Lepisosteus oculatus: one gene and its partners. The protein of the gene in region 3 interacts with the protein of the main gene of each other region in a biochemical or structural test. Links are inferred from orthologs where the notes say so. Each region holds a gene or a part of one and is shown on either strand. Other genes may lie near its edges.

Region 1 (7,260 bases), on a different chromosome or scaffold from region 3:
AAAATGATGTACAATCAGTACTAAAAAACACTTTCCATTGTATTTCCACAGTTTTTCTTTATCTGGAATAAATGTGATGCTTGAGAAGAAGTGCTGAAAGAAATAGCTTAACAAAACTTTATTTTGGGTTTTACTGCTGCACCTTCCTTTTTCTGTGAATACTATTTACTTCTCCCTACATTGCAGCTCAATGCTGTACTTTTAAATTGCAATAAAAGTACAATGTATGCTACTTTAATGATATATTTTTCTCATTAATTTCTTGAGGACAGTATTAACATCATAAGAATAAAAAAAATATTTCAATGTTTTCAGAATGCTGCCATTTAATTTGACATGCAAAATACAAGAGAACAGTGTTTATTTACGGTACCTTGCTCGTCCACCCTGTGGTTTTCACCTTAACTGGAAACAAAAACTCTAAAGCCTTTACATACAGGCATGCAAATTCATACAACTGTGTTCAGAAACCTAAAGTCAAGCTATAAACAGATCAGTCTAAGGAAGTCAGCTTTAGGCATGAAAAGTTTGCTTCCAGTTTCTTAATCATTAACAAAAGTGTTTTTATCCCCTTGCAATCAGCAGTGTGTGTCTATTATAATCGTGAGGTCCAGCAATTAATGTGTTAGGGTTAGTCCAATGGAAGCCATTTTTTAATTAAGCAAAAACACACAAATGACATGTTGTGAACCTGATTCTACAGCATGCATACAATTTCAGAATCATTCTTCCCTGATTACTTTTAAGAGACAAATACTTTGCTAGTTCTCACTGGTAACTCACATGAAAGCTATTTGGAAATAAAATCACATAAAATAAATGTGAAAATAAAATGGCAGCCCTTACATTGTTATTTAGGGGTTTTCTGATTATTAATTTACCCGTGGTTAGTTTAATTAGCTCAATGGTTAAACAGCAATTATTTAAAACTAGCAACAATTTATTTTCAAAGGCATGCTATATTTCATGTATGTAAATTCATACTGCTACTGTACACATGAATGGAAATAAAGACACAATGGTGAACTTATGGGAGTAACATCATAAAATGAGACAAAATGAATAAGAGCACTGTATTGACAATACTGTACTGTAGGTCTTGGACTTACTGCAGGAAACTCAAACTCTTAGATTAAAGATTCTCTGTTTTGCATGACAACATCACTACAACTATTAGATGCCAAATTTCTAGGGAGATAATTTAATTTAATACACGGAGCATTAAAACTTGCCTTTTGAATGTTTGGTTTAAAAATGTACAAAAATAAACTGAAAAATATTAATCACTAAAATCCTTCTGTTTATGTAGAGTTCCTGCACTGTATGAAATGTCATCATGGCAGTAGAATTCAGGATTTATATTATTTGTTAATTAACAGGAATTTAAATAGGACTAAATATCCCCTTTGTTACATTTTTCCATATATTTCTTTTCTTTCTGTATAATTATTAAAATACATTTTTTATTAATTTTATTGTACCTAGGCAGGACCTGTGCTAACCCAACTCCCCTCATGGGATATAACTCAACACTTGTTAATGTATTGTAAAAAAATAGTACTGTACTTGCAAACTTTAGTACAATTATATTTTTTCTTGATGTAAATTTCAAGGTTAAGCATACAGTACAGGTACTTCTGTCTGTAAACATATGAATCAAATAAAGCATTATCTTAAATCAATAAATCATACGAGCTAAGTGAACATAATGTTGTTCAACACTGCCATAACAGTGCCCTAAAGTGCATTTAAAAGTACATTTGAAAAAAAAAATAAAGTACTTTATATGCTTCATATATGTTTAAATATACTACCTTCCATGTTATTGCTAAGGACTAATATTAGTATTTCACAGTTTGTGTTAATCAGAAATGGGTGGGATGGTTTAGAAGAAGTGCTAAAAAGAAATGTTTGACTGCGAAAACATTATTTTCCACTTTCCAACTATTCTGCCTTCCTTTCTCTGTGAATACTAGTTCCCTTTCTCTGTATTACAGGACAAACATCCTAAAAATATTGTGTTCAAAAAACGCAAAAGCAACTCCAATGTGCAGCATTGGACTCCATTTCAATAATACATTTACACTACGTTCACTGTAATTTACAAGAAAGCTGACTATATACAGAATGCAACTTTAAATTAAATGTAAAAGATCAGTTACTTTAAAATGTGTTTAAAAGATATGAGCTTAACATATTAAAACTTGAGTTTACTTGACACACACAAAATTATCCTGTCTGAAAAAATAATATGTACTGTAGATAACCTAAATGTAATTTTAGGTTTAATAGTCCTGGTCATTTTTGTTAATTTAATAGAAAATAAAAAGAAAACGGTCACTGCTTCTGGCGCTTGCTTCGAAACATTAGAAATTAAAGAAGTCAAAAGAAAAATATATTTTACTATTAATAACGACGTACAAAGAGCCTCTACATATATATCATACAGTATGTATACAACACTATCATTAAATCATATCGAGATTCACTTGAGCTCTCACACAGTCAATTAAATAAAACAAATAGTGGAAAATTGCTCAGGTGCCTTTCATTTTTCTTTTGATCCAAAGTATTTCATTTACAGTGTGGCTAGCACTTTACTTTTTCATAAACTCTCTTTCAAAAAATAAAATCCCACAACATTAATTCATCCATACATTCAGTAGTCAATCAATAAGCAAAAACGTTACCTTTCACGTAGGTCCAAAACCTTTTCTAGCTGTCTCTGTGCTCGGAGAAAGAAGCAACCATATTCAACTGCTTGTGAAGTGAACAGGATGTGGTCTGGCTCTTCTTGGATATTTTGAAGTGATCACTCTGGAAGAATTTGTATCAGGAGGTGACATGAGTTTAGAAAATTGATCAACAGCAAATTGGAACTTTAACTTGACAATAAATTCTATATATATTTAACGCAATGTATTACTAATGTGTGTTACATTAAAGAGGTTACAAGACTTGAGTTTTTTGCAGAGGCCAGAGTACAATGTGGAAGTGTAATTTAGCTTCCCCTTTTTAACAGCTTGCAGCTACTTCCTTGACTTTTTTTTCTAGAATATGACTTCCCCTTTTGTCCAAAGTCTGTCTTGATTTAAAACATCAATATATGTATGTACTGTATGGTATGTAGATAGATGTATATGTGTCCATGTCGGAATGAATTTTTTTAAAAAATGTGGTTCAGGCATGCCTGTTCAATCATACAGAAAACAGGGCTTTAAAAGTATTGTAAAAAAGACAAACTACTATGCTGACAAACTCCTGTACAGTATGTGAGGATAATATTTGCAGTTTACTGTATGTACAGTATAGCAAATACCGTTATGCAATATAATACATTGAGTGAAGTAATATGATAGTTTGCTTAGACCTGGTAATGAAAATATTCTTACTGTATGATATTTTCTTACTGATAGGAAAATATATACAATATCTGGGTATCTTTGCATACATAATATCTACACTGTATGTTTGGGTTACAAACAACTACTATTACTGTAAGAAGTAATTCTTATTTACTACTACTGCAGAGTAAATAAATACAAGGCTTGTATTCAAACTATAAAGAAAGGCTTTAAGAGTTTCATCAATGCAATATAATGGGCACAGCAAAATTCACAATTTTGTAACTATTAACATTTTTCACTTTTCTTTTCATTTAAAAAAGTGTACATTTGAAAAATGAGTCATATGTAATATAAACTAATTTTTAAAAACTTTAACTTGACAATCAATCACTTGGTTATTGCATTCTAATACAATAGTATTAGAAATTTAGAAATTAACAACACAGGTTAGAAATTAACAGCATTGATATGGAATCAATCAATCAGACAGGCAGTCAGTCTGTGAATCTTTCAAATTGCAGTGAGCATAACAAATCTCTTGAAAAAAAGAGCGAAGAGACTTTGAACCAGTCAATTTAGTTTTTAGTAAAGATCAGAAAAGGTCTTGGTCTAAGCTGATGCTTGGAACCATATTTATAACATACAGTTGTACTATATAACATAAAAAAACAGAAATATGTGTGGAATCCATTTCATAATTAGAACGTCGTGGAAACATAAAGACATTTTTAATGAATTTATTTTAAACAGCCTTCTTTGACACTCAAAACTGACATCTAGTGGTTGTTCTTGGTTTATACAAACAGCACATCCCTCCTTCAATTTTCTAACAGCTTTATCCAATTCAAGAGTTGTAGAGGGTCCAGAGCCTATCCTGGTAAACAGCGGGCAAAGTAGGATGCAGGATACACCCTGGATGGGACACCAGTCCATTACAGGGTACACACAGACAGAAACACACACACTTACAGTATAACACAGCCCATTTTCCCAGAAACCAATGAATTTACCATTATATTTTTGGATTGTGGGAGGAAACCAGAGCAGCCAGAAGTAGCCCACATGAAGGGAGAACTTACTGTACAAACTCCATGCAGATAGCACCCTAGGTCTGTAAGTGAACTTGAGGCTCCAGTGTTGAAAGGCTGCAATGTTAACCACTGTAGCCACCATGCTTCCCACATAGACTACAATTATTTTTTAACACTATTTTTATTAATAGTGTATGATATAATTTTTCAAAGAGCTTGAAAGAGTACAATGTAAAATCTCACCTTTTCAGTTTATAAATAAATCTGTCCTTTATCTGTCCTTTAAGTTATGTGTTCAGCTCTTCCCATTTTTTCATTTTGGCGTATCTTTGGTCTGGATTAAATCAGAACTTCAGCCCACCTTCCAATGACAGAATTACAAACCCCTTACTCAATGGTGGGGTACAAAAGGAGGAGAAGGAGTAAGTATTCGTAAAACTCACAATATTACACTAGGTCTGTGTAGTTTCGTTGACAGGCAAGTTGAAGTTTTTATTTCATCCAGGTTTTACATATAAATTAACACGGAATTGCTTCAGGCTTGTGTCCAAACCACAGGTGAGAGAACAAGGACTACATAAAGCTCGTTTTAAAGATATGTGTTTTTTTAAACAAATGACCATGGTGTGGGAACTACCATTATGTGGTGTTGTTATTTTTCAAAATAACAAGCATGCACATGGAAGAGCTACCCGGTATCACTGGCAGTGTTATACTGAAATGTTTCTGTAAGAAGAGTTGGGCTGTAAGGCTCACTGCAAGGCTCCCGCAAGCTAGACCCTGGTCTAGAAAAATATTCAGACAGTAAGCTGGCTAAGCCTTGGTCCACATCTGTATCCTAGATTCAGATCTTAGCTGAAAAAAGTCCAGAAGAGCCAGTAACCATAAACCAGTCACATCTGATTGTATTTAAGACTTATGACAGCTAAACGCTAGGATATAACCCTGACTTTACAAGCAGAGAACTTAAACTAACGCAGACCAGCTCCTAACTTAAAGACAACAGAGGGACACCACTTTTCCATGAGGTACAATACATTAAGAAATGTGAGCAAAGTTCGACTCCTCTCCTTCCTCTCCTCATCATCCACCCCACTCCCCACCTTTTTCCTCCTCTTTCCCCCTTTCTATCCCACTGTCCTCATAGGACACCTCCACAGTTACTGACACTCACTGTGCCCCATGGGTTCATCAGTATTAGTCTCAGCTGGGCATGGCCTCCTCACTCATACATTTTGCCGACCCCCTACTCACTACATCCATTCAGTATAGTGTCGGCCCCCAACTTTAATTCCACCCCCAAGCATCTATCTAAAAATGGTGAAAAATATTTTTTAAGGTCATACTTTGCTCACTAAAATAAACATGTTAAATGAAAAACAGTTTTCTTCCAATCCCAAAAGAAACACTGATGTAGGACTCCCTTCTCCAGATTCCAGATGCCAGGATGTAGGTTGTCAGTTTTGATGACATCTGCTAAAAATCTGCTACACAAGCTAGTGAACATCAGTCCACTTCTGCAACCTGTTTGTTTTTCCCTGAGTCTAGTTGGAGTTGTTTCTTCATTGTTTCAGTAGCTTTGAAAAATTTGGAGCACCTTTGGCTAGGCCTTTTGGTATTCCACTTTCAGATTTAAAGACATGTCTGCCTATAACTACAATACAGTATGTCCATATACAGGTAAAGGCTAGATGATTTTGTAGCATTCTAAGTACCAACTTGCACTGATGTTTTTCCATTTATATTTGAGCCAATTAATCATTATTGTTCTGACCTGTAATAATGTATGCTTATGCTAGCAACTATTTTTAAATTTACTATTTTTAGTCAACCTCTCCAGAGTTATAATGTTCTTTGTACTGTTCATACTGAGACTGTAAATGGCTTAAGACTGCAGATGAAAGCATGGTGTTGTTCCAAAGTCCCAGCAGATGGCAGACTCTGCCTATCAGACTTCTCACGAAGCTCACTGTAAACTCATCGTGCTTTTCTTCTTCTAGTCTGTGTGTGTAAAAACTAGAACAAAGAACACTTTGAAATAAAGAGAGATTAAGGCAACATAATTACAACTGTTTCTTTCACTATTTAATTTTATGCTAAATCTTAAATTGTACTTGTATGTGCTATGTGGAAATTAGATCCAGTATATTTACATGTTGCCTTGCAACCAAAAGCATTTGCTTTTCTGTAAAATGAAAACATACTGTACTGTATCGCATGGTTAATCAAGCAACATAACTTTTCCTGTCAATAAACGTGAGTTTCAGCAAGAGCTAGCTGTCTCAAAACTTAAGAACATCCGATAAATTACAAATAAAAGTGGGCCATTAGGCCAGTCTTGCTCATTTGATTTTTCAGTAACAAAATGACACACAGCTATATCCTGATTGAAGCCTGAGAAGCAGCTTCAACCATCATACTGTAGCTTGCCAGTTTGTACTGTACTCCTTCAAGTTCCTCCTCTCTTCTTAGTTTTTAATGCACTTTGTTATGGTTTGCACTTGTGTTCTCTGACTCTTGTCCCATTTCCATAAAAAAGAAATTATTCACTCCAATACAAAGAAATGTACTAGTATAACATTTTAGTTAATGGAACATCTTCAGGTCAAGTGCAGGTCAGGACAATTATTCTATAGCCAGAAAGAGGATGAATGCTGTCAAAGCAGAATAGACTGCAGAGCTAGTAAGTTGCCTCTGTATTTTAATTAAACAGCTTTACTTTCCCATATGAAAAAGGATTTCTTTTTTAGAAACCTAAAAAAACAGAGTCTGGGGGCCTGTGACATTTGTGTTCATGAAACAAGGCTCACTGCTAACCAAAAAGTAGATAGAGAATATTGGAATAGCAAAATGCCAACATAGATTAAGAAAAAGGTTTGCTC
Region 2 (7,143 bases), on a different chromosome or scaffold from region 3:
TTTAAACATACAAACCAGACTCGTATTAATTCAGTTTCAGACCGGAGGCATTTAGGTTAGTAAGGTAAAGCCAAGGAAGGACGTTTTTTGGCTACCAGTAAAGTCTGTGCACTGCAACACCAGGACAAGGGCTGACATTTTTCCAAAGAATTCTATGCCACAAATAACATTCAAATTTCTTGAAGTTGTGCATTTCCAGGATCATGTTAATGCTTGTTTTATATAAACCTACTGGAAAATACTGATTTAACTAATGCTGGCCATTTTATAAAAGTACAATACCTGAACGTGGGGATTTTTGCATCCTGGCTGTTGTGTGGCTTCCATGCACCCCTGAGCAAGACACATTAGTAAGGGTGCGAATCTGTGCTCCAGAACCTTTTCCTTAACAAGGCCTCATCCTCGTGTCTGAGCACGTCTAAATATTTTCATTCCCCTATCGCTTGTGTATATGGCACTAAAGTAAATTCATTTTTCTTTAAATCTGGCGTAAACGTGGCACTAGAGCTAAACGATATCACACCTTGCAGTTGACAACACTTCCTTTGCAGTAGTTCAGTGAGAGGGAACAGCAGCCTTTACTCGTGTGTAACTTGACAGAGCCGAAGCTCACTGCTGTTAACAGGTGGTTAGTGCCCGCACGTGAAAACCTGAAAGCATTTTTTTTTCTCGCCTTCCAATCGTGAGTCTCATGGTTTGCAGCTCTCAAAACCCACACGACTGTAAATTCACTTTTCAATTTTGAACCACTTTCTTTCTCTCCTTACCTGCAACTTCTTGTTCATTTTAATATGCGATCAAGGTATATACCCATCTGTATGCACACATACATATCCATCACCAAAACCTAAGGAACCAGATAAACCGTTCTGTGGCACTATACAGAGCTGCAGGCGTTGTGGGTGTTCACCAAAATTGGCTCAGGATTAACTCCACAGCAAATGAAAACTACAAGAGCGTTTAATTTAGTCCTACTGAATCGAGTTACTTTTTTTTTTAAGCACAATCTCTCTCTCTCTCCCTGCTCAATTAACCAGCTCACGACATTTCCTGTCCCTCGGAATGGACCAGACCCTTGCAGAGCGAGCATACTGTGTTAAGGCAAGAAACTCTCGTCCTGGCGATGAAGTTTTCTTTAGTCTGAGGTAACTGCACTGTAAATGGACAGTACAACAGGAAAGCGTCGCTCTGCAGGTGTCTCAGTGTTGCGTCTGAAGACAGGCCGATTCTTCAAACTCCAATGTTTTAGACAGTAAAAAAGGCCCTGTTCTACCGAGGTGAAAGGATTTGTATCGGCTGTCTGCGACAGGGCGCTGATTCAGCAGCAAGGCTTAGAAAGTTTTTATGGAGAGGTTGTTTGCATCCGGCGCTGCAGCGCTACTCCCTGCAGTTTGAAGCGCACATCAAACCGCTGGCTGTCAACAAGTTGTACCATCAAACTTCACAGCTAAGCGCGGCTCGGATCTCTCCCGAGAGCCCTCTCGTTAACACACAACCGACTTCTTTTCTCTCCCCCGTTTGTTGTGGTGGTGGTGGTGGTTGTTCAAATCATCTTACTTTTTCAATAAATCCCCCCTAACTTACTGGTTCGTAGGCGGCGCGGTCAGCGGGAAGGCGACCTCCTCTTCCTCGTACTCCGCGCCGTCCAGCATGTCGTTTTCGTCCACCGTCCCCAGACCCCCGCAGACGGGGGGCGGCGGAGGAGGGGGCGGCAGAGGGGGGAAGGCGGCGGCGGGCCCGTCCGGACCCCCCGACGTCGGCGACATCCGGATGCCCTGCGCCTCGGGGGTGGGGGGACCCGCCGCCCCGGCCCCCGCGGACGAGCTGCCCCCAGACGGCGAGGGCTGCCCGGCACCGGTGCCACTCCCAGCGCCGGCCACCGGGCACAGGACGACCTCCGAGGGGCCGTCGGGCGGGCGGTGGTGGAGGAGGGCCGGGGCTGCTCCTGGGGCCGACTCACTCACCCGCAATCTCGGCTGGGCAAAGAAAGCAAAGTGGGCCTCCGGGCCTCCGGCGGCAGAAACCCCGGTCCCGGCCGAAACCGAACCTGCCTCCTCGCTTCCGACCTCCGCCGCCATCATGATTTTCTTATAGATTTTTTTTTTCTTCGGGTCCTTCGTTTGTTGTTTCTCGTTGTGTGTGTATATATATATAAAATATGAGCATGCAAAAGAGAGGAGAAAAAGGAAGGAAGGGAGGGAGAGGGGGAATAAAAGGGGTGGAAAAGGGATCCTTCCCCCCAGTCTGTCTTGGGACTCTTGGTTTTTTGTCTCTCTCTCTTGCTCTCTGAACAAACAAAAAAAAAAACAACAAAAAGCTCAGCTCCAAAACTTTCAACTTGGAAGAACTACACCACCTCGCTGGTGCTCCGCCGCCACAGTCCTGCTGAATGCACACGCTCGACAAACCTCCCCCCCCACACACACACACACCCCCCTCCAAAACAAAAACAAAACAACCGCGGACGGCTGGGCTCCAAAAATGAGTTTTTAAGTCTCCATCCTCGTCGCCGGGCTGGGGAAAAGTTGAAGAAAGTGTGGCACCGAGCGAGCAGGGTGCGAGGCAGAGACACGGCGTCTCCCCTCTCCGGGGCAGCAGGTCCACTTGTCGGGAGCGTGTGGCTTATTGTCAGTCTCTGCCTCCCAGGCTTCTGTCTTTCTTTCTTTTTTGTCTCTCTCCCTCTCTCTTCTTCTGCTTTGCTTGTTTCAGCGGCGATTTCCAGCCTGCAGTTGTGAACACCTCTCCTCTCTCTCTCTCTCTCGCCCCCTGGCCGTTGCAATGCCCGTTTCCTCCGCTCGCTTCTGTTTTAGATTGGCCCCTCGCCGTAGCCCAGCCGGATGTGAAAAAATTGTTAGATTGTTTCTTGCGCAAGTTGGTGTTTTTTTTTTTTGTTCGTTGCGCTGCCGAGAGCTGTGGGTTGTTGTTTTTTTTCCCCCTCCCCTGCGCTGCCGAGAGAGCTATAGCTCTTACCTCTCTCTCCCGTACTGGAAGCGTGTTGACGCTCAGGCTCAGACCCGGCCAAGCGAGCGCCGAGCGGCTCGACCGCGCCTTCGATTCGCCCGGCTTCTGAGAAAATCACTGCCTGAGAAGTGGGGCAATGGAATGGATTTCTCTTATTTAAAAAAAACAAACAAACAACAACAACTCTTTTTTTACCATTATACAGAAAAACAACAACGTAAACTGGGGCAGAAGAGGAACGTTTAACTTATTTTTTTCCCTGTACAGTAACATTTTGGACAACCCCCTTCAATCTCTGTGGACAACCTACTACTACTACTGCCAGAATAAAATAACTGAATCTTTTCAACGCTGAACAGAGAAGACTAGGAGGGGTGTTCAGAACAGTGTTCAAAACCCCCCCGAAGCACTGACAGAGAGATAAACCTGACTTCTTCAGGCCTGAAAGTGAAAAATAAACCAGCAGGCATAAGTGGGATCTATGGATGAGTGCATTTAAAGCTTAGAACAGGAGGCTCTTCTCTACACAGAGGACTGCAGGAGTATGGAACAGTACGTGTAGCTGAAGCTAGAGTCCTGGCTTCTTTCAAGGAACAGCTGAATCAATGAAAACAGCTAGGATCAATTAGCTACTGATAATGCACATTAGCTGGTCTAATGACCTGATTATTTCTAAGCTTTCTTGTGTTTTATTCACCAGTGTATACAGTAAGTACACAACACATTGTAGAGCCATCTGCCAGGACAGTGTCCAAGGAGCTAGGAAAGGGAGCTCAGGATATTGGGACTGGCTCTGTGGGAATGATGGGAAGCCTCCATCGACAGTACACGGCTGTGTAGCATTTCTTTGTCTGAGCTGTTCCTTTGTTGCTCCCTTCTGTCACACTGTCACCCTGCCTGCCTTGGCTGCTTCAATATCCGTGGGGTCCAGCCTCCCATGCGTGAGTCTGAGTGCTCCCTGTGTTGGTGATTCTGAGTATTTCAGGCTTAAATGAGGGGCGTGGCTCAATAATGAGCCCGGTTCTGCCCCTGGGAGTCCCTTCCTGGCGCTAGAAACTTGCATCTGTTTAAAAGCACTGCAGTATGTACATTAATATGCTGCGGCGTTTATACTTGCCTCTTTACTCATTCTTACAATGACTTTCATTTGTACGCCTTACACTCATATTCCTACCCTCTCCCTCAACTCCCTGCACAACTAGAAACACAGGCAAATTACCGGGTTTCTTCCCATTTTCCTTCTAGTGTGGAATCACCACTACTTGTCAAATCCAAAACAGGGTCACGGGGAGCCTGGAGTGTCAGAGCCGACATTGGCAAGCTACAGGCATGAGATGAGGTACCCCCTGGATGGGACACACACTCACACCAGGGCTTATTTTCCCAGAAGCCAATTAACCTACCAGTTGGTCTTTTTAACCATGGGAGGAAAGCCATGCAAACAGTAGGAGAACATAGAAGCTCCACGCAGATAGCATCCCAGGAACTGAAAACAGGGCCCCAGTTCTGTGAGGCAGTGATGCTAACCACTGTGCCACTGTGCTGCCCTTGCAACAGTTTTGTAGTTCTGAATCTAATACTTTAATACAATTGTTAATTTAATCTCAATATAAGGAAGAAAAATCTATGTTCTGATTGTTTCAGTTGCTCAGGGAGTTACTCAGAACATTTGCCTTTTGCAGGTGTTCCCTGATGTGACAGTCACCCTAATACAACCACCACGCCAGCATACATAGTGTAACGCTTATGGCCGACAAGCACTGTGTGTAAGAGCCGGCGTACCAGAGCGGGTGACGTCACCGCCCTTCCCTGTGATAGCAGGACCACAGCTACTGGGCTGTGGAGAGATCTCTCATTAGCTCACGGGGCTAGGTCGCTGCAGAGAGATGCGGAAGTCCCGGGTTCGAGCCTCCAGTCGGGATGGGGCCGACCAGATGCGGCAAGGGAAGGGCGGTGACGTCACCTGCTCTGGTACGCCGGCTCTTACACACAGTGTTACAATATCATCCTACAACTCACAGCTGGCAGCCCACTGGAGCTCAGCAGGTGTGAGCCTGGTCAGTACCTGGATGGGAGACCTCCTGGGAAAAACTAAAAAGGTGTTAGTGGGGCCAGCAGGTGACACTCACCCTGCGGTCCATGTGGGTCCTCATGCCCCAGTAATATAATAATAATAATAAACTTTATTTTATATAGCGCCTTTAAAGGTGGCTTCTCAAAGCGCTTTACAGGATGACAATAACAATAAATAAGAAGACTACAACAATAAATAAGAAAATTTCACAAGACAGGACACAATTATGATTGCAACAATACAACAGTAACAATAGAGGAGACCGTAGAAGATGGTATTAAGAAGAGCAGAGGGGTGAAGAATGGAACCAGTTAAGTAAAGGCTTTTCTGAAAAGGAGGGTTTTGAGTCTGGATTTGAAGGAGTTTAGAGAAGGTGACTCTCTAATATCCTTGGGCAAAGAGTTCCAGAGCTTGGGGGCATAGCAGGAGAAGGCCCTGTCGCCCATACAATGTAGACGGGCTTGGGGGACAGTAAGGAGGGCAGAATTTGAAGAGCGGAGGTTGCGAGGTGGGGAGTAGGGCGATAAAAGTTCAGACAGGTATTGAGGTGCCAGGCCATGTAAAGCCTTGTAGGTGAGCATGAGGATTTTAAAGTCTACACGGAATTTGACCGGAAGCCAGTGCAAGGACTCCAGGATAGGAGTAATGTGAACACTTGCACTAGACCTGGTCAGGATTCTGGCTGCTGAATTTTGGACATACTGCAGCTTGTTCAGAGTAGATTTAGATACCCCAGGGAGCAGAGCATTGCAGTAGTCAATTCGAGAGAATACAAATATGTTGATTAGCTTTTCAGCCACAGTTAATGATAGCATAGGGCGTAGTCTTGCGATATTTCTAAGGTGAAAAAAAGATGTTTTGACAGTATGCTGTACATGTGGGTCGAATGTTAAGCCAGAATCGAATATAACCCCAAGGTTTTTCAATTTTGATTGGAGCTCAAGTACAGAGCCATCTACAGACAGGGTTACAGGACTGGCTTTACGAAGTTGATGGGGGGTACCAATAAGCATGACTTCAGTCTTGTCACAGTTAAGATGAAGGAAGTTTTGAGTCATCCAAATTTTTATGTCAGAGATGCAATTAGATAGAATAGAGACAGCCACATCAGTGTCGGGTTTGGTATGGATGTATATTTGAGTATCGTCAGCGTAAAATAGTGATGGGGACACAATACTGTGCCGGATGAGACATAAAACCAAAGTCCTGACTCTCTGTGGTCATTAACAATCCCAGGGTGTCTCTCAAAAAGAGTAGGGCTGTTACGCCAGTGTCCTGGCAAAATTTCCCATTGGCCCTTACCAATCATGGCCTCCTAATAATCCTCATCTAAGAATTGGCTTCATTACTCTGTTCTCCTCCCCACTAATAGCTGATGTGTGGTAAGTGTACTGGCGCACTATAGCTGCCGTTGCATGATCCAGGTGGGGGCTGCACTTTTGGACTGGTAGAAGGGAATCCCCATTACCTGTAAAGCGCTTTGAGTGGAGTGTCCAGAAAAGTACCACATAAGCGTAAGGAATTACTATTATAATTATTACATACACACAGGCTGCCAGACCTTATAACCGCTGAATGAGGGTGAGTTTGACAACAGAGTGAAGATTTCAGCCATCTTAATGGGGTGGAGCCGTGGCACTGTGGCTAAGAATCTGCGTCTGTGGCTGGAAGGTTGCCAGAGGAATCCTACTCCGTTGGGCCCCTGAGCAAGGCCCTTAACCCCAGCTGCTCCAGGGGCCCTGTATAAATGACAGACCCTGTGCTCTGACCCCAAGATTCTTTTCCTATCTGTGTGTCTCATGGAGAGCAAGCTGGGGTATGCAAAAATACAAATTCCTAATGCAAGAAATTGTATATGGCTAATAAAGTGATCTTATCTTAAACAGAATGGAAAGAGGTGATACTATTCTGCTGAGGGTTTTGACAAAATGGCTAGAATATCGGCAGCTGTGATTGCTAACAGGCACTGGTAGAGAAAAGGAGCAGTGGAGAGGAAGCCCACACTAGGACTGAGAACTTGGCTGCTGTGAATATCCTGTTCCATGGGCTGAGTTGCTGACTCATCGTTTTAGGTTGTGATTGGTTGTGATTGGCCTCTGTGTTCTCAG
Region 3 (7,033 bases):
CCTGCTTGGTACATGGGGAGTAACGAGAGATGCTAAGCAATGCAGGCATTCGGTGTGTAGGGCTTAATAAGTTAAGAGTAAACATTTGAACCGAATGCGGTGTGTGATGGGGAGCCAGCGAAGACGTGCCAGACCTGGGGTGATGTGCCTTGAACGCATTAAATCAACGTAAGGAAAGACCCAGACGTCTGAGTCTATGGATTTTTCCTGTCACTACTAAAACAGTACCCATCATAATGTAATCATAAAGTTAGAAGCAATTCAGGGAATCCCGAAGATTATCTGTGTTTCAGTTTATGAACTGAACATTAATAAAGAAGACGAAAGGGCACTTGTAAATGTGTTACCCGTCATCTCATGTCCTTTATGACAGTGAAGTCCTGTTTAGTCCAGGGACAGTCACAACACCGAAAGAGCCTGCTGCGGACTTGGGAGAGATTTCTAATGAACCACGTACCAAGGCTCCAATTGTACACGTGCAGAATATGTCCTTGGCTAAAAGTATAGTATCACTATTATCATTAACAACGTTTGTAACCCATTTCTAGAGTTCAGTACGCTTTAAAAGGACGTTCGCTTAATGTGAGGATTTGTTTTTCGTGAGGGGGTGAAACAGCAGAACTGCCATTTAATTAAAAGGAGAACGCCTCGCCTACTTTTCATTAAACAATTCTTGAGACAACGGAACGCTAACTCGTAATATTGAACGTACAGTAAACGGATGCAAAATCTCACTGAAGTATTGAAGAACTCCTTTCTAGAAGTTCTCCGAGGAATGTTTTGAATACAGATATACAGTACACCTTTGCATAATAATGTAGATAGATGAGTATAAGGGAGAATTATGAACAGGTATATGCCACTGTCTGAGAAGTGAGTAAGACGCACTTTTCGCTAGAACCTGAAACTTCTCCACTTTCTGACCCACGCAAGATTTCCACACCTTGCAGTTACACACATTCGCGAATAACCCTCCGGCGCACGATCTCAAGGGAAACACACACCTATGACTCTCAGCGAGGCTCGGCTGCCCTTTAGCCTGAATCCTATCAGCTGCGAAACATACAGTATAAGACAAGAGACGCCACAGGCTGCAGAGTTCAGATTGTACACAGCGCGAAAGGACTGCGAGTCTCCGGATCATACCACCACCGTGTGGAGATGCGGTTGTTTCTCCCAAGCAATCAAAACTATATCTCAACTTGTTTAAACAGCACAGCCCGATCTCTTGCAGCGTAATAATGCCCGGTCCTCCAATAGACCAAGCTAACAGTCAGCCAAATTCTGTTTCATATGGCACAGACGGTGCATTTTATTGTGCCTACAGAGACTACAGTAAAGAAAATACAGAACAAGGTATCAAAACCCTTTGTGATCCCAAACGTTTGGAGACGCGTAAGATACTATATGTCACCACTCAGGTGCAAAACCATTAAATGAGTAATTAGTAATGAGTGCTAATTAGTCGATTACTTGCTAATTTATTTAAAAAAATGTACAGTAGTTATTACTCGCATGTTACAGGTCCTGTGTGGGTACTTCGAATGTTTCCCAATCTGTTCATTATGTTATGAACAGACTGCCACATTACTTCCGAAATTTAGTTTATTTACTTCTCATAAACACCATTGAACACCCAAAGAACGAAGAAGTTTTTGTTGTGCTCTGTAAATAATGTTTCAGATGCGCAAGTCGAGGCTCGGTGTCTTTGAACGGGAACTATAGCTTCGTCAATCGAAACGCGAGACAGCTATGAGCTAATAATTATTAATAATAATAACTGGCGTTAACGACTAATTAGATGTTCTTTATACATGTTTACGTTTCATTACGCAGATTAACCATATGACAACGAACAACATCTGAAGATGCCATACAATGTGAAGAATATCTAAATTCTAGTAAAACACCAAACGGCGTTAAGGATGCTGATAGTAGTCCGCAGATATTTAAATCGTCAACACCGCATCGATTATTAAAATCGCGTATTTATAGCACCTCCATTCGTCCTTCTTAAATTGCTGGCATTTTTTAAATCACTGACGACGGGAAAGGCGGTAGGTCAGGTGCAATCGCTCAAGAAGGCAGCGGGAAGAAACACAAACGAACTGGTTAAGCCTCTTTTTGCTCAAGGGACGAAAAAACACGGTGGGAAAACGTGAGTGAGTGGACAATAGTTCTCCGGTGTGTCCGGGACACGTGCGGCGTGAACTCCATGTCCAATTCTCTAAAAAACCAAAAATCCTGATTCTCTTGAGTCTCCGAGACGCACTTTAACATACCCCTAATAATCAAGGCGCGATAGCACAACCCCGCAGTCTCTCAAAAACAGGTACAGCATAAACAGTATCAAGATCGACATCGTAGTGAAAGAGGAGTGTCGGAGCCGAAAGAGCCTTAAAAACAACACATTCCTGCTCTCATTTACTGACTGTCATTCCGTTCATAACTTGTGGTCCACAATGTACAATATCACACATTTGGCGATTGTGAGAAATAGACTGTGACCAGCGTTACCAGCAACTGTAGAGTCCACACGGCGCAGAAACTACTAGCCCGACTAGTGAGAAACAACAGTACCTCACAGCCCAATAACAACACACGCTGGAGCATGACATTTAACAATACACCTTGCGCACGATACGAGAACAAATATATCCTACCCACCTGACTGCGATGAGCTGATCCTGACGATCACAAAACTGAACAGCAAGCCGAAGCAGTACAGAGTGGTTGGCTTCATTTTTTTGGGGGGTAGCAGTTACTCCTTAAATTCACATGTCCAGCAACATATCCCGTTTATTTATTTATTTTTTAATGGACAAAAGAAATCTTGAGCTGATGACAGGGTTTCGATGCACGGTTTGAAACGTAAATATGTCTCCTCCAGGTGTGTCTTAGTCCTGTTTGTGCCTTGAAAAGATTTGCCGAAGTTCGCACAGTAGTAATGTACTTTCCACAGCGTGGTATACAGTAGCTTGCCCTGATTGCAGTGCTAAGCTCATGCCATTACTCTCTGCAGAGTTCAGCACACAGCGTCCGCTCGAAAGCTGGAGACACGCCCCCCTGAGGGAGTTTCCCCGCCCATCGCCCGGTGCATTGGCTCCAAAGGCGGCCGGTACAATTGGTCCCCGCCTTTAACCACGCCTTCCTGCGCTCCCATTGGGTCTTCAGGCCTTCCCAAAAATTGCTGTTTTATTCAGCGCAAACACCTGTCTCAAAGGCAGAACCGAGTCAGGTGAACGCGCAACTGTCGGCGCGATTTAATGTGGTATTTTCTTGGGTTCTCTGGCGTCAACCTGGTAGTGTTTTCTAATAATACTATTATCAGAGATAAAATTTTGTTTCCCAGACTTGGAATAATCGGAACGTAGCATTTAAGAAGCGCATTATTTGACCTTTAAAAAACTTTCTGATAAATACAGTAATAGATTAAACAAAAAAACGTTGTCTTATCACGGAAGAAGGACGATTTCAAAGAACACCTTTATGGGTTAAGATATCATAAGCCATACTAAAGTAAGAGTCCTACGTGTAACAGTTATTAGAAATTGATTGCAAAAGTGAAACAACGAGCACGGTGGACTATTTAGAACAAATTTAAATTAAACTATTTATACTGACGGCTGTAATCAAGCCAAACGCAATTTTCCATAATAGTTCGTATATGACACTAAGTACACAGGTGGATTTTTAAACCCACTTACGATTCTTTTATATTACTTATAATTCTTTACAAAAGTGCTTCTTTTGTACTTCTCTTATATTCCTACAAGGCAAGTCCTGCTGATTTCGCATTTATTATGCACGGTGTATCTGCGTGTGTACAGGAAGTCCAATTGGTGTCACTCTCCAATTGTTTTTGTGTTGTGTCCTTTGTTGGTAAGTTGTTCAGACCACTAGTAAGTGATTCCAGGTTCCTCTCTTCAGAAACATGAAAAAGATTTAGTGGAAGAAACCACAAAAGATAAGCCACTGGCATTAGGCTCACTTGTGTCCTTAAAATCCCAGAAACTTGTCTTCCCAATAATTCTCACCATCACCTGCCATTCAGTCCCTGCCAGGGGGATACACACAGCTTTGAATCACAATATGCTGGAACATCTGGCCCAAACTCTGCCTTTTGGCTGGCCTAACCCTCTGCAGTATCATGAGTGTTAACATCCACGATAATCCTAAAATGACTTACAGAAGACATTCAGCATGAGAAGACAGTTTGTTTGCATTTCAGAAAATTTAGCACAAGCAGTTGCATGTTTCTGCTGCATATGCATAAATCATGCTCAGAAACATATCGTTAGATACATGTAATAAATACAGAGCATACAGTATGTAGCAGATGAACTTTTATTATAAAGATTCCAAAGAAGAAGGTAAATTAAGTCTCTTTCTTTTTACACTAGTTGCATTTCTTAGCATTCTTAAAAATCTCATTTGTGTTGAAATCAAAATATTAGTAAAACATCTAAAAAACAACTCTTTTCAGATGTTAGAAGGTACTGTAAGTAAGGCTGAACCTGGTCAGTATTCAGCTGGGGGACCTGTAACTGTTGTTCATGAAAGGCAAAATAAATATGTAAAATACCAATACGAGATTTTAAATAAACTTTTAACCTTCTAGTTTCAATTGCTGCAAGTGTGTGTTTTTGTGTGTGGAACATTAGGTGGTGTTCTTCTGTTTGGATTCGAATGTCCAATTCAAATTCTGGTCCCCAGAAATGTAAACCAGGGACATTGTGCTGTAGGAGATGCTGTCCCTTGGATGAGATGTTCAGCTGAGTGTCTGGCTATGTGGTCAGCAGAGTTCCCACTACAGTGCTGTGGCACTCCCAGTGTCCTGCTTGGTGAGGGCTACACTTCGCTTGTGGATGAACTTCACATGGGGTCTGTGATGAAGGTGATGATGATATGATGATTGAGTGCAGTGTCTGGAAAGGCACTATATAAATCTAAGGATTACTATTATTCTGGCAAGCAACTGGCACAAAGCAGCATACACCCTAGACTATCACAGGGCACAAAGACATAGACTCTCAAAAGATGATGATGATGATGATTATAATATTGTGGAATTTGTGAGATCCCTAGATCAGATGCTACCTACCTCCTCTCATTTGCAGTCTTTCTTGTATTCGTATCTTCTTATTCTTGGAATTATAATTAAAAAAAACAACCTCAGCTTCAGGGAGGAAATAACATTATCCATCATTGTCTAAGTTTGTGTTTCGCACTATGACTGGAATTGCCTTTAAACAAAAATAAAAGATTTTGTACCTTAAAGAACAATGTGCTGTGTGGACAGTCACGGTGCAGTACTTTACACCGCGAGAGTGAACAGTGAGACTTGACTTGAGTTATCATTTCAATTTAGCAACATTTGTGCTTCAGCCAGGCTAGTGCTGGCTGGAAAATACTTACTAATCACTTGGGCACAGATGTTAATGTTTTTTTTTTGTTTTGTTTGTGTAGTTAGATTATTTGCTCTAACACCAGAAAATATTATAGATTTGCATGCAAGGGTTCCTGCCGACTGTTCTGAGGGTGGTAACTCATATTTGAACTAATGTTTTGTTCAGCGCTGGAATGTGGGTCTACTATTTATAATATAGATAATTTAGTTTTCTTTAGTTTTCAGTTCGGTTTTTAATTAAACAGTTTTGTGTTTAAAATAAGAGAGCATTGTTCTGTTATCCCGTGCTTTTCAAACCCACTGCCGTCTGCTGGTGTACTTTCAACGTGTAATTATTTTAATTATATTTATTATTTAGAAAGGAGGAGGAAGAGGTTACACATTGAAGGGTAAAATTACTCTCATCAAAGTGACCCACTGGCCTGGCAGCCAAAAGAGGTAGATTTTTTTAGGGTCCTGTCTGACATTCGAAGGCCATGTGTGCGTGTACTTGTGTGTCAAATGAAACGCCCTCCGCAGCTATTAAAACTTGCAGTCAGATCGCGTTGTTGTAATGCCGTCCCTAATCCAGACGGGGGAGCCTTTGAGTACCTCTGGGGTCAAGAAAAGAGTAAAGGACGATGCAGATTTCATACCGTGTTGAAAACTATGATGATTCGGATACTGGCCTTTTATTATTAAGACACATTAAATGTTTAATTTAATGTGCTTTTAATAATGTAACGTGTGGGTGATTATCAAAATATCAAAGGAAGAAGTCATATTTAATAGGGTTTTAGTAAGTGCACCCCACGTGTCCAGACTTGATTAACGTAATAACAAATTTAATTTTAGCGCAATAGCTTTTTAATAGAGTGCTGCTTAGACCGTACCTCTCTCAAACCGTCAATTAAACATTGTATATTTTCAGAATACAAAAATTAACTACACAGAATTACTGTAGTTTATAAGCCAGCTCTGTGAAGGTGGATGTTTATAATTTCAGCGGGAGAGTCAGAGCCTGTTTAATGGATGAGCGTGTAGCGAAGCAGAAGCATTAATAACAGGAAACCTTGAGAATCTCTGGCTATCATAATATATTCAGAAACACAATGCAAATGATAAAACTGCTTTATTACATTTTGCATAACTCACTCCTATGAATCCCCTGCACTCTGGCTCGATCTGCCACAGGAAACGTGCACATTTTCAGGCACATAATAGGAAAAAGCATCTCATACTGTAGGAGTTATGAAAAGCTTTACCCCAGGATGAATACCCAGAGTTCCCCCGGGTGACCGACCCTACAAAAATCCATATTTTCTGATGCACATCAAGACACCCATCCATCCCATAAAGAATCGCAGCATGGGCTAAAAATGTATTTTAATTTCTAAAACTATATTTCCTTAAAGGTAAAACGAGTGACCTAACAGCTCTTTCAAGGGGCAAAGGACAAATAAAATGGACAGGGGGGTTTTGGAAGAAGGCATTTAGAAATAAGGGAAATCAGTTACACCTCATCTGTGAGGATGCAGAAAGAGTTTAAACCACCCCTTCGATCCCAGGAAGAAATCCCTTCAGGTTGTGCAAGATTGACATGCTTCAGAAACACAGTCCACCTGTGCAGGTGCCTGTACAGCC

What was found.
Region 1: the proteins of receptor tyrosine-protein kinase erbB-4 (region 3) and syk form a complex in vitro, tested with the Homo sapiens proteins (2 studies listed by BioGRID and IntAct, with this or other methods). The link is inferred for Lepisosteus oculatus from reciprocal best matches to the Homo sapiens genes ERBB4 and SYK.
Region 2: the proteins of receptor tyrosine-protein kinase erbB-4 (region 3) and ras GTPase-activating protein 1 form a complex in vitro, tested with the Homo sapiens proteins (2 studies listed by BioGRID and IntAct, with this or other methods). The link is inferred for Lepisosteus oculatus from reciprocal best matches to the Homo sapiens genes ERBB4 and RASA1.

Annotation. Positions count from the first base shown.
Region 1 is NC_090698.1:49,714,270-49,721,529, reverse strand, and holds the start of syk (tyrosine-protein kinase SYK), read right to left. Parts: upstream 3,005-7,260; 5' UTR 2,691-3,004; intron 1-2,690. UniProt on the Homo sapiens protein: Non-receptor tyrosine kinase which mediates signal transduction downstream of a variety of transmembrane receptors including classical immunoreceptors like the B-cell receptor (BCR).
Region 2 is NC_090698.1:71,891,537-71,898,679, reverse strand, and holds the start of ras GTPase-activating protein 1, read right to left. Parts: upstream 3,005-7,143; 5' UTR 2,082-3,004; coding exon 1,585-2,081; intron 1-1,584. UniProt on the Homo sapiens protein: Inhibitory regulator of the Ras-cyclic AMP pathway. Stimulates the GTPase of normal but not oncogenic Ras p21; this stimulation may be further increased in the presence of NCK1.
Region 3 is NC_090707.1:8,562,963-8,569,995, reverse strand, and holds the start of receptor tyrosine-protein kinase erbB-4, read right to left. Parts: upstream 3,025-7,033; 5' UTR 2,744-3,024; coding exon 2,668-2,743; intron 1-2,667. UniProt on the Homo sapiens protein: Tyrosine-protein kinase that plays an essential role as cell surface receptor for neuregulins and EGF family members and regulates development of the heart, the central nervous system and the mammary gland, gene transcription, cell proliferation, differentiation, migration and apoptosis.